Linked DNA regions of Caenorhabditis elegans. The protein of the gene in region 2 purifies or fractionates together with the protein of the main gene of each other region. This does not show direct contact. Each region holds a gene or a part of one and is shown on either strand. Other genes may lie near its edges.

What was found. The genes of interacting proteins can lie anywhere in the genome.
Region 1: the proteins of ctl-2 (region 2) and spp-5 fractionate together in Caenorhabditis elegans (co-fractionation; one large-scale study listed by BioGRID). This does not show direct contact.
Region 3: the proteins of ctl-2 (region 2) and Y22D7AL.10 fractionate together in Caenorhabditis elegans (co-fractionation; one large-scale study listed by BioGRID). This does not show direct contact.

Annotation. Positions count from the first base shown.
Region 1 is NC_003284.9:7,319,250-7,322,118, forward strand, and holds spp-5 (Saposin B-type domain-containing protein), read right to left. Parts: upstream 1,106-2,869; 5' UTR 1,105-1,105; coding exon 952-1,104; intron 904-951; coding exon 745-903; 3' UTR 688-744; downstream 1-687. Other genes in the region: T08A9.13 (uncharacterized protein), read right to left, coding at 2,750-2,869.
Region 2 is NC_003280.10:14,298,978-14,304,092, forward strand, and holds ctl-2 (Peroxisomal catalase 1), read right to left. Parts: upstream 3,051-5,115; 5' UTR 3,044-3,050; coding exon 2,990-3,043; intron 2,918-2,989; coding exon 2,273-2,917; intron 2,222-2,272; coding exon 1,949-2,221; intron 1,211-1,948; coding exon 680-1,210; 3' UTR 579-679; downstream 1-578. Other genes in the region: Y54G11A.7 (Tetratricopeptide repeat protein 38), read left to right, coding at 237-558; ctl-1 (Catalase-2), read right to left, coding at 4,644-5,115.
Region 3 is NC_003281.10:1,616,464-1,620,599, forward strand, and holds Y22D7AL.10 (10 kDa heat shock protein, mitochondrial), read right to left. Parts: upstream 2,467-4,136; 5' UTR 2,460-2,466; coding exon 2,433-2,459; intron 2,381-2,432; coding exon 2,267-2,380; intron 1,928-2,266; coding exon 1,808-1,927; intron 978-1,807; coding exon 912-977; 3' UTR 688-911; downstream 1-687. Other genes in the region: hsp-60 (Chaperonin homolog Hsp-60, mitochondrial), read left to right, coding at 3,296-3,442, 3,592-3,900.

The sequences.
Region 1 (2,869 bases), on a different chromosome or scaffold from region 2:
AATGTATTATGCATACGACTTCCTACATTAAACAAATTTTTTTCAGACTCCCTCTGTCTTTTTGAAGGAATTCGATGACTTTTTGATCTATTGAACTTAATTTTCTGTTGTATCCGTAGATAAACGGAATATTATGTGATTTCACGTGATCACAGTTTCGATAATTGTGAAAAAGTTACAGGTATTATATATTGCAAATCATCAAGACGCGGCACTTCCCTGAAATTGTATGTTGTTATCTGTAAAAATTAGGTGTCCAGGGCAGGACAATTTCACAAAGAAAACTTATCAAACCAAACTCCTAATGTGTCAAAAAAGTATCAAAGGTTTTGAAAAAAGTGTACTCATTTTTCGCTGTTCAATCAATAATTGTGCGCGAAAAGCTTTCAAGCTTCAAGATAATTCTAGAAACTCAAGAAAAGCTTGCAACGAGCTTTCAGCGTTTCAAGCAATAACAGTCACGTGTACATGGTGTGCAGACCGGGCAAGTTCCAAACTCTAAAATCATAATGATACACATTTTTTCAATTGTTCCCCACTCTCCTGGATTGAAGCTTTTTGGATTACAGTCCTTATCAGTACTATTATGATTCGTTATTAGACTTGAGGCCCTTTCTAAAAAATAAGGTCCAATACATTTCTGGTCACAATTATTCTATATTTATCAAAATTCTGGTTGAAACTTTTAAAAATCGAAAATTTATTGGTAAAAGTTTCAAACAAGTAAAAATTTCAATGATCCGTTTATGGGCATTCGTTAAGCTTGGTGCACACATCCTTTGGAGCGGTTCCTCCTTCCAGCTCGTGAATGATTGGGTCTACCTTGCTGTTGACGTAATGATCGCATTCTCTGGTTCCGAATGGGATGGTGTGGAAAAGCTTCTTGCATTCAGCATCGAAATCCTAGAATATTCAAGAGTTGTTGGTTTTTTTCTAGCACGGATTTATTACCTTCTTGATGACATTGGCATCCTTATCGGCGGATCCTTCGTATTTCTTGACAACCAACTCACACATTTGACAGCTCAATGCGCTTCTATTTTCTGGGATGGCAAGTCCTGAGGCAACGGCGACCAAAACGGCTAGTACAAGAAGAGTCTTCATTCTGTAATAAAATAAATTGAAATGAAACACTGAAGCATCAAAACGCAAGGAAGAATTGAAAGAGCACGCGGTGATAGGGGCGCATTTATAGCAAAAACTTCCCAATTTTGATTACTTGACCATTTGATAAGAAGCAGCGTCGAAAGCGGAGAGCATAATGTATGGAATAGAAAAAAGGTTACAGATCGACAACATATGCATTAAACTCGTGATAAATAGGAAAATTGTCCGGCTTGCAGGAATGTACTAAACATTTATACTATGTTGCAATGCATGATAACTGTTTTTTAACGATCCAGATGTATGACATTTAGAATAACGTCAACTTACGTTGTTATTTGTAAATATATTTAAACTTTCTTTGGATAGAACGAGTAGGTAATGTACAAATATAAACTCGTTTATGATCAATTTTTTGCGAACTTTCAAGTTAATATAAACATTTAGTATTATTGCCACGCCACGACATAAACATGAATTTAAAAAATTAATGAAACTATATTTTGAATATATAACTGTTTTCGAGTAAAAATACCACAAAGTAAGAGAAGTAGGTGTTTATTTTTTTCCAGAAATATATTACTGTTTCGGCGGTAGTATTTAGTTTCCACAACGTTTCAGTGTTTTATTCCGCTCTGATGTTCATCTGGAAAAATAATGTTGTTCAACTTATTCAATTTTGTAAGACTGCAAAAATAGTCATCAAATAAGTTTAGATTCATAGTAAGTAAAAGTTGTTTAACAAAATAGTGTCCACTAGATTTACCGAGAGGTTCGAGGCAATGGATTAGTTTTAGATAAAACTTTATTGTTTCTGAAAATTATGAAAGGACTTGTGGCATTTGTATTCGGAGCGGTTTGAAACAACATTTAATATTTTTTTGCAACTATATCTTTGAACGTGAGGTTATTCATTCCGTTTCAGATTTTCCCGCATAGACTGTTTCTATTAACTTCCCTAGAAACCTAAGATCCTTTGTATGATATTATAACCGATTTATGACTCAATATCGCATAACTCTAACAAAAAACTTATCATGTGGTAACATTCAAAATATTCGCACATTGTCTAGCTTTAAGAGTCAAAATTAATTCACTCCCTATGGGAAAAGTGTTGATATAATTTTTCATTTCCTTGTCTTTGCTTCTGATCTCCCATTGTGAATAGGGAATTCAAAATTTTCAATCGAAGTTTTGGTAACTGGCCTTTTTTAAGTAAATTTTTTGAAAAAAAAATGGAAGCGATGCAGCAGGTTTAAAATTTCTATATTGGTCAATGACAACTATTTAAAACATGGTTAAAAATTGGCGAAAATTCAAAAAAACATGTTTTGGCCGACTTACAAAAGTATAGTCATATTTAACTGAGTTTTCAACCAATATCATCGAACTAACTGCTCATAGATAATTTTTTTCTAACGTTTTGCGTTTTGATATTGGGTCATTTTAACAACATATAAATGCTTTTAAAGATTTTCCCAAATAATGATATTTTGCTTTGAAATGTTGGACAGACAATGTACCAAGACCATGTCAGAATTAAGACAATGCAACAATGTTCATATGGAAAGACTGCATCAGATTGAGACCTATTAATTATAAAATTTCAATAATTTAGAAATTTTAACAGACAAATCAATTATTTTCACTTTGTCAGTTCCTCGCCTTTGGCTCCCATAATTACACGTGCATCCATCACAGCTTGAGAAGCTTTTTGTGCAGCAATAATGGCTTTAGCTATTTTCTTTTTGGTGAGCGTCTCGTT
Region 2 (5,115 bases):
CGTAGATCTACGAGAATTGCGGGAATTTAGACGCAGACGTCTTTGCTGATTTCGCATGATAAAGAACCTGCTGACGTCACATTTTTTAGGGAAAATTTCCCGCATTTTTTGTAGATCAAACCGTGATTGGCGAAAATTTAAAAACGTTGTATCGAAAGGTGTTAGGATATGTGGAATTAGATGTGATAATCAGCTCCTAGGTCAAACTTACCACATATCAAACTATCATTTTTCAGGCTGCTATCCGAGGACAATGCCCAAATCAGCAAGACCATCGGGATGCCCCTCTACGACGGGATGCTTGACTTTGCCCGCTGCGACTACGACACAGCTGCCGAGACTATGTACCCAATTCGCGATAAAGTTGTCCAAATCGGAGGATCTCATGCCCAGCGGGACCTTTTCGTTCAGACACTGATACAGTCTTGCATTCTGAGCAAGGATCCCAAGAATTGGGCTTTGACGCCTGAGCTGCTGGTGGAGAGGGAGACCCTGAAGCATGACTCGCTGTTGGGCCAGAGGCTTGCTGATAAGTTTAGAGCTTTACATCCGCTGTGAGTTGGTGGAGAGTTTAAGTTATATTAACTTTATTTATTTTTAATTATCATATTTTTTATACACAATAAAGCAAGTTATTACAATAAAAAGTACATTTAATTTCTTTTAATTTCAAGAAAGTTTAGATATGAGAGCGAGCCTGTTTCTGGATGAGTGCCTTGACACGAGCTCCAAAATCTGGATGAACCTTTGAAAAGTGATCGATCATTCCCTTAATAATGAAATCATGACATTCCCCGAGCGGCCCTGCAAAGTTCTGGCACATTCTCTCCCGAGCCCCGGTATCCAACACCTTCTCCCAGAATTGACGGGGTTGATCATAGTTGTTGTCATCTCCACTTTCATAACGATCAACATCTCCAGTGGCTGGGAATGTGGTATCCTTGACATCCGGACGAGTCTTTCCATAGTTGAAGCTGTTCGGGAAGAAGTTTGGAGCATGTTGCTGATTGTCATAAGCCATTGCACCATCACGCTGGGTGTTATGAGCACGGGAGCGGTACGGGCAGTTGACTGGAAGCTGGATGTAGTTTGGTCCAAGGCGGTGGAAATGAGTGTCGGTGTACGAGAAGATACGTCCTTGGAGCATCTTGTCTGGCGAGAACTCGATTCCTGGGACGATGTGGGCCGGGCAGAAGGCGGATTGTTCAACCTGGAAATAAAGTACTGTAGGATTACTGTAGTTTTGGAAAAACGTTTTTGTGTTTCCCAAAACTAGCTATTCACGTTGAACTCACGTGGTGTCAGAGTGTCTCATTTCGGCTTGATCTACTTTGATCTACAAAAAATGCGGGAGAAGAGACGCAAGGTTTTCAACTGATTTCGCATGGTTAAGAACTTGCTGAAGTCTCATTTTTTGTGCAAAAAAAATTCCCGCATTTTTTGTTGATAAAAAAAAAACAAACCATAATGGGACAGTCTGGCACCACGTGAGAGCTATCAATTCCGTCTTATGGGCCCTAGTTTCTCGTTAGAGCGCAATTGCATGCCTTACCACACTTCACACGGTAGCACAGAAACTAGATGGCTTGGTTCATGATAATCAGTCTAAAAACCTGTATTGGCTGCTATCTCGAAAACTAACCCAAATTTGGATTTTGCGATGCATATGAAAAATGGCCGCAAGAAAATTTACTCGTTCGGTAGAGCACGTTTGCACTCACCTAGCTTCTGTACCACCCTGACTCGAATAGTAATAGTTGTGGTGAATGAGAAGAACCTGCTCTCTTTCTGTGGTAACCCCAAAAAACTTTGGCTCTGTACAGTACCAAAACACAATCCTACGAGACTACCGTACCGCAAGCTCTCCGGTATAGAAACAGTCCGAGTAGAAAAGGGACCGACTAGGCCACCTTAGCGCGCAACTAGGCGGTCAAGCCCAGCCCATTACCTCAGCGAAGTAGTTCCTTGGATTTCTGTTCAGCACCATCTTGCCGACCTCGATCAGTGGGTAATCACCGTGTGGCCAAACTTTAGTGACATCAAATGGATTGAACTCCCATTTCTCAGCTTGTTCGAATGTCATCACTTGAATGAACATCTTCCATACTGGAAAGTCTCCCTTCTCAATAGCATTGAACAGGTCACGGATGGAATAGTCTGGGTCCGAAGAGGCAAGTTGACCGGCCTTCTCCACGGTGAGATTCTTCACTCCTTGAGTTGGCTGAAGTTGGAAATTATAGACCGAAAAATTTAAATAACATTAAGGACCCACCTTGAAATGGAATTTCACATAGATAGCCTTTCCGTCCTTGTTAACCATCTTGAATGTATGGGATCCGTATCCATTCATATGACGGTACCCATCTGGGAGTCCTCGATCGGAAAACAGGAACATCACTTGATGCAAAGCCTCTGGTCTATGAAGCCAGAAGTCAAAGATCATGTTGGGATCCTTCAGGTGAGTCTGTGGATTACGCTTCTGGGTATGGATAAAGTTCGGGAAGTGGATAGGGTCACGGATGAAGAAGATCGGAGTGTTATTTCCAACCAGATCCCAGTTTCCCTCCTCGGTGTAGAACTTGATCGCAAATCCACGTGGATCACGAGCGGTGTCGGCGGATCCGCTCTCACCACCGACTGTAGAGAATCTAATTAGCAGTGGGGTCTGCTTCCCGACCTTGTTGAAGATATCGGCCTTACAGTACTTGGAGATGTCATGGGTGACCTCGAAGTATCCATGGGCTCCGGCTCCCTTGGCATGAACGACACGCTCGGGGATACGTTCACGATCGAAATGAGCCATCTCATCCATATAAACTACATCTTGCATGAGCATTGGGCCACGCCGCCCGGCGGTGAGCACGGCGGTCTTCGAGTAGATCGGAGCTCCATTTGAAGTTGTGATCACTTGGGGTTTCTGAAACAAGTTACTGTAAATAGTAGTTGTTGTTGTAGAAAATGCGTCTGTGCCTTTAAACTCTAAACTCACTGGATACGTCTCCTTGTAGGTTTTCAGTTGATTATCCGATGGATCGTTTGGCATTTTGGTTCTGAAATTTTAGTTAGGAAATTTAGAATTAAATAAAACTCTGAACAAAAAAATGACCACGACGAGGTGTAATACGGAATATGGGTTGGGAGAGACAAGAGAAACAGAGAAAAAAGAAAGAAGATTGTAGCGTTATCACTGATAAGGAACATGTTGTTGGACACCAGACTACGGCATAGTCTCGCTTATTTTGGACAGGCAAAAAAGTAGGGGGAAAGACAAAAATTAGGTAGGTATTGATTATGGGTCAGGGTATACGGGGAATGGATTGATCTACAAATCTACAGATCTACAAAAAATGCGGGAGAATAGACGCAGAGTTTTCAACTGATTTCGCATGGTTGAGAACGTGCTGACGTCACATTTTTCTGGACGAAAAATTCCCGCATTTTTCATAGATCAAAGCGTAATGGGACAACCTGGCACTACGTGGAAAAGTGGTACCTGTACGCAATTTGTCTACCGTATACCTGAACTTTTGGGCTTGTCGTTTTTATCAAAAACGAGTGGCCCAATATTTTTGTGATGTATATAAAAAATGTCCGAAAAAAATAAACTCTAAATTTTTTGGTCCAAAGCTTTTTTCTTATCTTGCGCCTAAACCTGGTTAAACTCAAATTATCAGTAGAGCGCATTTGCATGGATGTACCACTAGCCGGGCCGCGGGGTGTTGCTGTATGGTGCATATGTGCAAACACCATAACTTACGCGCAAATTTGACAAACTTACTGTCAAAAAGGCGCGCTATAAATAAGCAATATATTGACTATTTTGAATTTTAAAAACAAAAAATAATCCAAAGTTGTCCACGAGCAGTACACAGCGGCTTGTAGAAGTATTGCGCGTCAAATATGGTGCATCGAAAAATGATCATATTTTACGCTCAATTTTCACTTCTACCGAACTGATTATTGATGTTTTCCGGCGATTCTTATACTCCCAGTCGCGGTGCTCTGTACAAGAGATGATGACGTCACATGTTTATGATAAGCGATAAGGGAAACCCAAAAATAAAATAAAGTGTTGTGTCGGTCTCGCAGCGATGAAATTGTTGACCAAATTTTGCAATGTTTTCACCAAAAACTACGGTACCCGGTCTCGAAACGACAAATACTGTAACTTTAAACTTTCGTTGACGCGGATTTTTTATCGATTTTTTTTTTAATTTTGTGTTTTTATTGTTATATTTGAGTTGTTTTCATCGAAAAAATATAAAAAATCGATAAAAACTCCACAGCGACAAAAGTTTGCAACTACAGTACTCTTTAAAGGCGCACATATTTTCGCAATAGATAAAAAACTGTCGTTTCGAGACCCGATACCGTAATTTTGGCGCGAAAATTGCTTTTACAGTCTAACTTAAGTTTTCATCTTTAAAAATTGACTGAAACAAAAAATTTTCCAGATTTTCTTCAAACAGGAAAATGATGACGTCACGTGGCCAATTTTCTGCCTGATAAAACGCTATTTAATTTCCGGCTTTTTTGATTTATGTGCACATAAAATTTCTTATCATCAAAAACCAGAAGAAATACAAAAAAAAGAGTTTATAAATAACGAGATTCTATATACAAAAGTTTGAATATCAAACAATTTAATGCTTCTTCTGGCAGAGCTGATGGCGAAGAGCATTTCCGAAATCCGGATGAACTTTCGTGAACTCTTTGACCATTCCATTTTGAATTTCCTCCAAACAGCCACCCAAATCACTAGCCAAATTCCCAACGAGCCGATCTCTCTCCTCCTCCTTGAGCACTTTCTCCCAGAACTGACGTGGCTGCTCGTAGTTGTGATCGTCTCCAGTCTCATAACGATCAACATCTCCAGTCGTCTGAAATGTCGACTCCTTCACATCATCACGAGTACGGTATCCGCGGAAACTGTTCGGGAAGTAATTCGGCGCATCTCCCTGGCTTTCATAAGCCATTGCACCATCGCGTTGAGTGGTATGAGCACGGGAGCGGTACGGGCAGTTGACTGGAAGCTGAATGTAGTTTGGTCCAAGGCGATGGTAATGCGTGTCCGTGTAGGAGAAGATACGCCCTTGGAGCATCTTGTCTGGCGAG
Region 3 (4,136 bases), on a different chromosome or scaffold from region 2:
TTTCTAGGGTGAAATGTCACGAAGATTTCAAATTTTTACATGAAAATCTGCAAAAATGAATTTTAATACAATTTTCCTGACGATAAAGTCATAAAAACTCATTTTTTGACATTTCAACTTTAGTTTTATGAATTTTAACTAACAAATTCAGATTCAGCACCTCATTTTACCCATAGGCATGTGATTTTTACAAAAAATTGAGAAATTCTGCATTTTGTCGTAAGCACTGCGGTGTTTGCGTTCTTTTGAAGCTACCGTACCCCAAAAAAAATGTTTTTTTTTGTTGAAAATTGGAAGGAAAATCCTCAGTTTGCGTTCCAATTCGAATTACCGCCAAGAGTTCAAGATGTTCGATGGAGCGCGCTTGCATCATTTTAGTTTATTTTTGGATCTTTTTGACGGGAAATTCAATTTCCAAAAAACCGAAAAAAAATCAGTAAAATAATGCAAGCGCGCTCCATCGAACAAATTAAATTGGCGGCAATTCAAAATTTTTCAAAAAATTGCAGAAAAGCGCTAAAAATATTTAAAAACGGTTAAAAAATAGCTCAGAGCTTGAAAAGGTTCGACCACTGCCGTGTCTTTTAAGTACGCCGTTTGTTTTTTCCGGTTCTCCAAGCCACATTGAGCTTTTCTCGGTTCGCCCTGTCACATCGAAAACATTGTCTGTGGCCAGAGAACAAGAAAAATCTGAAAAATCATTATTTAAAATCGAAAAAAAAGAAAAACAATACCGGCGAAAAATCAAGGAAAAAAGGAACTATAACAATCGATTTTTTCAACAAAAAAGAGGAATTTCCTAAAATCTAAACTCAAAAAATTGAAATTAAAAAATTAAATAAACAGAGAGAGAGAGAGAGGGGAATAATTGAATGAAGATTTGTGAGACCGAAAGCCATATGGAAGATAATTTAATGGAAGACTCCGAGAAGATCAGACTCGCGGAAGATTGAGTATTCCTTGTCCTCGACGACGACCTGAAATTGGGGAAAAATTGTTGGGATTTCCTGCGAAAATCGGTCGAAAAAATATGTTTTTGCGCAATTTTCGCGGTCTGTAAGCAAAAAATTAATTAATTTTCAGGTATTTTGTCAAAATTTTGGCCTAAAACTATATTTCACTGGAAAAAACTGACATTTTACCGCCTGAAATTCAGTTTTTTTGGCGTAAAAATCATATTTTAACCTAGTTTTTCCTTAAAAAACGAAGGAAATTTGGGATTTTTTCAAAGAAAATGCTAGATTTCCGGTGAAAATCGGCACTTTTTGTGGATTTTCAGCGAAAATAAACTGATTTTCAGGTTTTTTCCTAATAATTTAGAGCGAAAAACCCATGAAATTCAGTTTTTTGGCGTAAAAATCGTACTTTAATTCAGTTTTTCTCGAAATTCGTTCATAAAAATGAATTTTTACAGAGAAAATGCTAGATTTCCGGTGAAAATCGGCAAATTTTGTGCAATTTTCGTTGGGTTTTAGCGTAAATGTACTATATTAAAGGTATTTCCCCAATAATTTAGAGCGAAAAGCGCGTGATATTCAGTTTTTGGGGGAAAAATCGTATTTTAATACAATTTTTCCTGATTTTTCTGAAAAAATCTTGGATTTCGGCTGAAAAAACACAATTTTTGTGCAATTTTCGTTGATTTCAATGACTTTTCAGTAATATAACGCTACTTTTACACTGAAATGTTAAAAAAAATCCCGATTTTCGTCCAAATTGTGTGAAATTTCAACGGAAATTCAGATTTTCACATTAAAAATTCGCCAATTAATCCATATTTTCGCTCGAAATTCGTCGCATTTTGTACCTTGGTGCCTCCGTATTCTGGGAGAAGGACACGATCTCCTGGCTTCACAGTCAATGCGACGAGCTCTCCCTTCTCGTTGCGAAGTCCGGCTCCGGCAGAGACGACGGTGGCTTCAAGGACCTGAAATATTCGAAAATTAGGTGGAAATTGCTTTAATTTGAGTGAAAATTCGGTAATTTCGGATAAAAATTGGACAAAAACCTCCGCGAGCAGTCGGAGAGCGTGTTGGCAGGGAAAATCGATAATTGCATCATTACACCAGACTTTACGGAATTTTCGGTGAAAATTAACATTTTTCGTATAAAATTGAAGGTTTTTAGCTAGAAACTGTGTTTTAGACGCCAAGTTGCACCATTTTGACGGTGAAATTGGCATTTTTGTGCTAGAAATCTGCTCCAAGACGTTGAAATTTATCAGTTTTCACCTGAAAAATCAATTTTTAGGCCAAAAATTGCTCACTTTTCCCTGTGACTTCTCCGGGAGCATGATTCCTCCCTTTGTCTTGGTCTCGGCGGCGACTCTCTCGACGAGCACACGATCATAGAGTGGCTTGAAGGTCTTGAGGACATTGCTCTGCAAAAAAATACGCGTTTAATTCGGAGAAAACACCGGGAAAATAGCTTACCGATCGGCGGACAGCGGTGAGGAACATTTTTCGGCTGAAAAATTGGTTTTTTGAGTTTTAAAATTTATTTTTAGCGGGAAATTACATGAAAACAACGAAAAAACCCGAAGAAACCCGCGAAAATTCAGAAAATGATCAAAAAACCAAAAGAAGCTTCGAGAAAAAAAGCAGAAAATAAATGTGCGGCGCGAAAAATCTCGTGCGGCAAACTTGCAAATCTAGGCGTGTCGGGCCAATGGCAGACACCGCGCCGCAAATTCAGCCAATCAGCGCGCTCAGCTCCACCTAGAAAAGTGTGCGCACCTTGCAAAACTGGGCGGAGCGAGTGAAATGATGCAAAAGTCTATTCTGATGTAAATTAGCCATTTTACATCAAAATTTGCGTCATTTTCGTTATTTTTCTCTCATTTTTCATATTTTGAACGAAAAATTGAGGTTTTTTGCTTCTATTTTCATCAGAAACCATTGAAAAATGCTTATTTTTGGGCCATTTTTCGTCGAAATTAGGGGAAAAAACTATTCTACAGTTTTCCCAGCTATTTTCTCATTTATTCCTGTATTTTTCAGTCATTACCTGCTTCCCAGACGATAATGCAAGGCTTCTCGCTTCATTTTCATAAAAAACGATTGAAAAATGCTTATTTATAGGCCATTTATCGTCTAAATTAGGGGAAATATCTGTTTTACCGTTTTCCCAGCCGATTTCTCATCCATTCTCGTTATTTTTCACTCCTTTTCTGCTTCTCAGACGATAATGCAAGGCTTCTCGCTTCATTTTCGATGAGAAACTCTGATTTTGCTCGCATTTTCGCCTTTCCGCTGCAGATTTTCACACAATTTTCGTAGTTTTTCAGACACAAAAGATGCTTCGCCTCGCCAGAAAGGGACTTCAGACCGCCGTCGTCAGATCTTACGCCAAGGACGTCAAGTTCGGAGCCGAAGGACGACAGGCCATGCTCGTCGGAGTCAACCTGCTCGCCGACGCCGTCTCTGTCACTATGGGCCCAAAAGTACGGGGATTTTGATGTGAAAATTGAGGAAAAAATGCTGTAAAAAAATCTATTTTAACGTATTTTTATACACAAAACTTCCGGTTTAATGCAAAATTTAATTTTTTTTTCTTCATAAATACAGCCTCTAAAACTCCAAACTCTTTCAGGGAAGAAACGTGATCATCGAGCAGTCGTGGGGAAGCCCAAAGATCACAAAGGACGGAGTCACCGTCGCGAAATCCATCGACCTCAAGGACAAATACCAGAACCTGGGAGCCAAGCTCATTCAAGATGTCGCCAACAAGGCTAATGAGGAGGCTGGAGACGGAACCACCTGCGCCACAGTTCTCGCCAGAGCCATCGCCAAAGAGGGATTCGAGAGCATTCGTCAAGGCGGAAACGCTGTCGAGATCCGTCGTGGAGTCATGAACGCCGTCGAAGTCGTCGTTGCAGAGCTCAAGAAGATCTCCAAGAAGGTTAATACCGGGAAATTGTGGATTTAAATTCAAAAGCCACAGTGATTTTTGGAAAAATTGGGATTTTTGACCCAATTTTGAAGCGATTTTCATTTGATGTTAGAGGAAAAACTAGAATTTCGCTCAAATCTGCTTGAAAATCGCGAATTTGTGGCTAAAATCAGTTGCCAGGAATTCAAAATCTTCAAAAAACCGTCATTTTTTCCCAATTCGGGCCATAAAGCTTATTTGTTCGA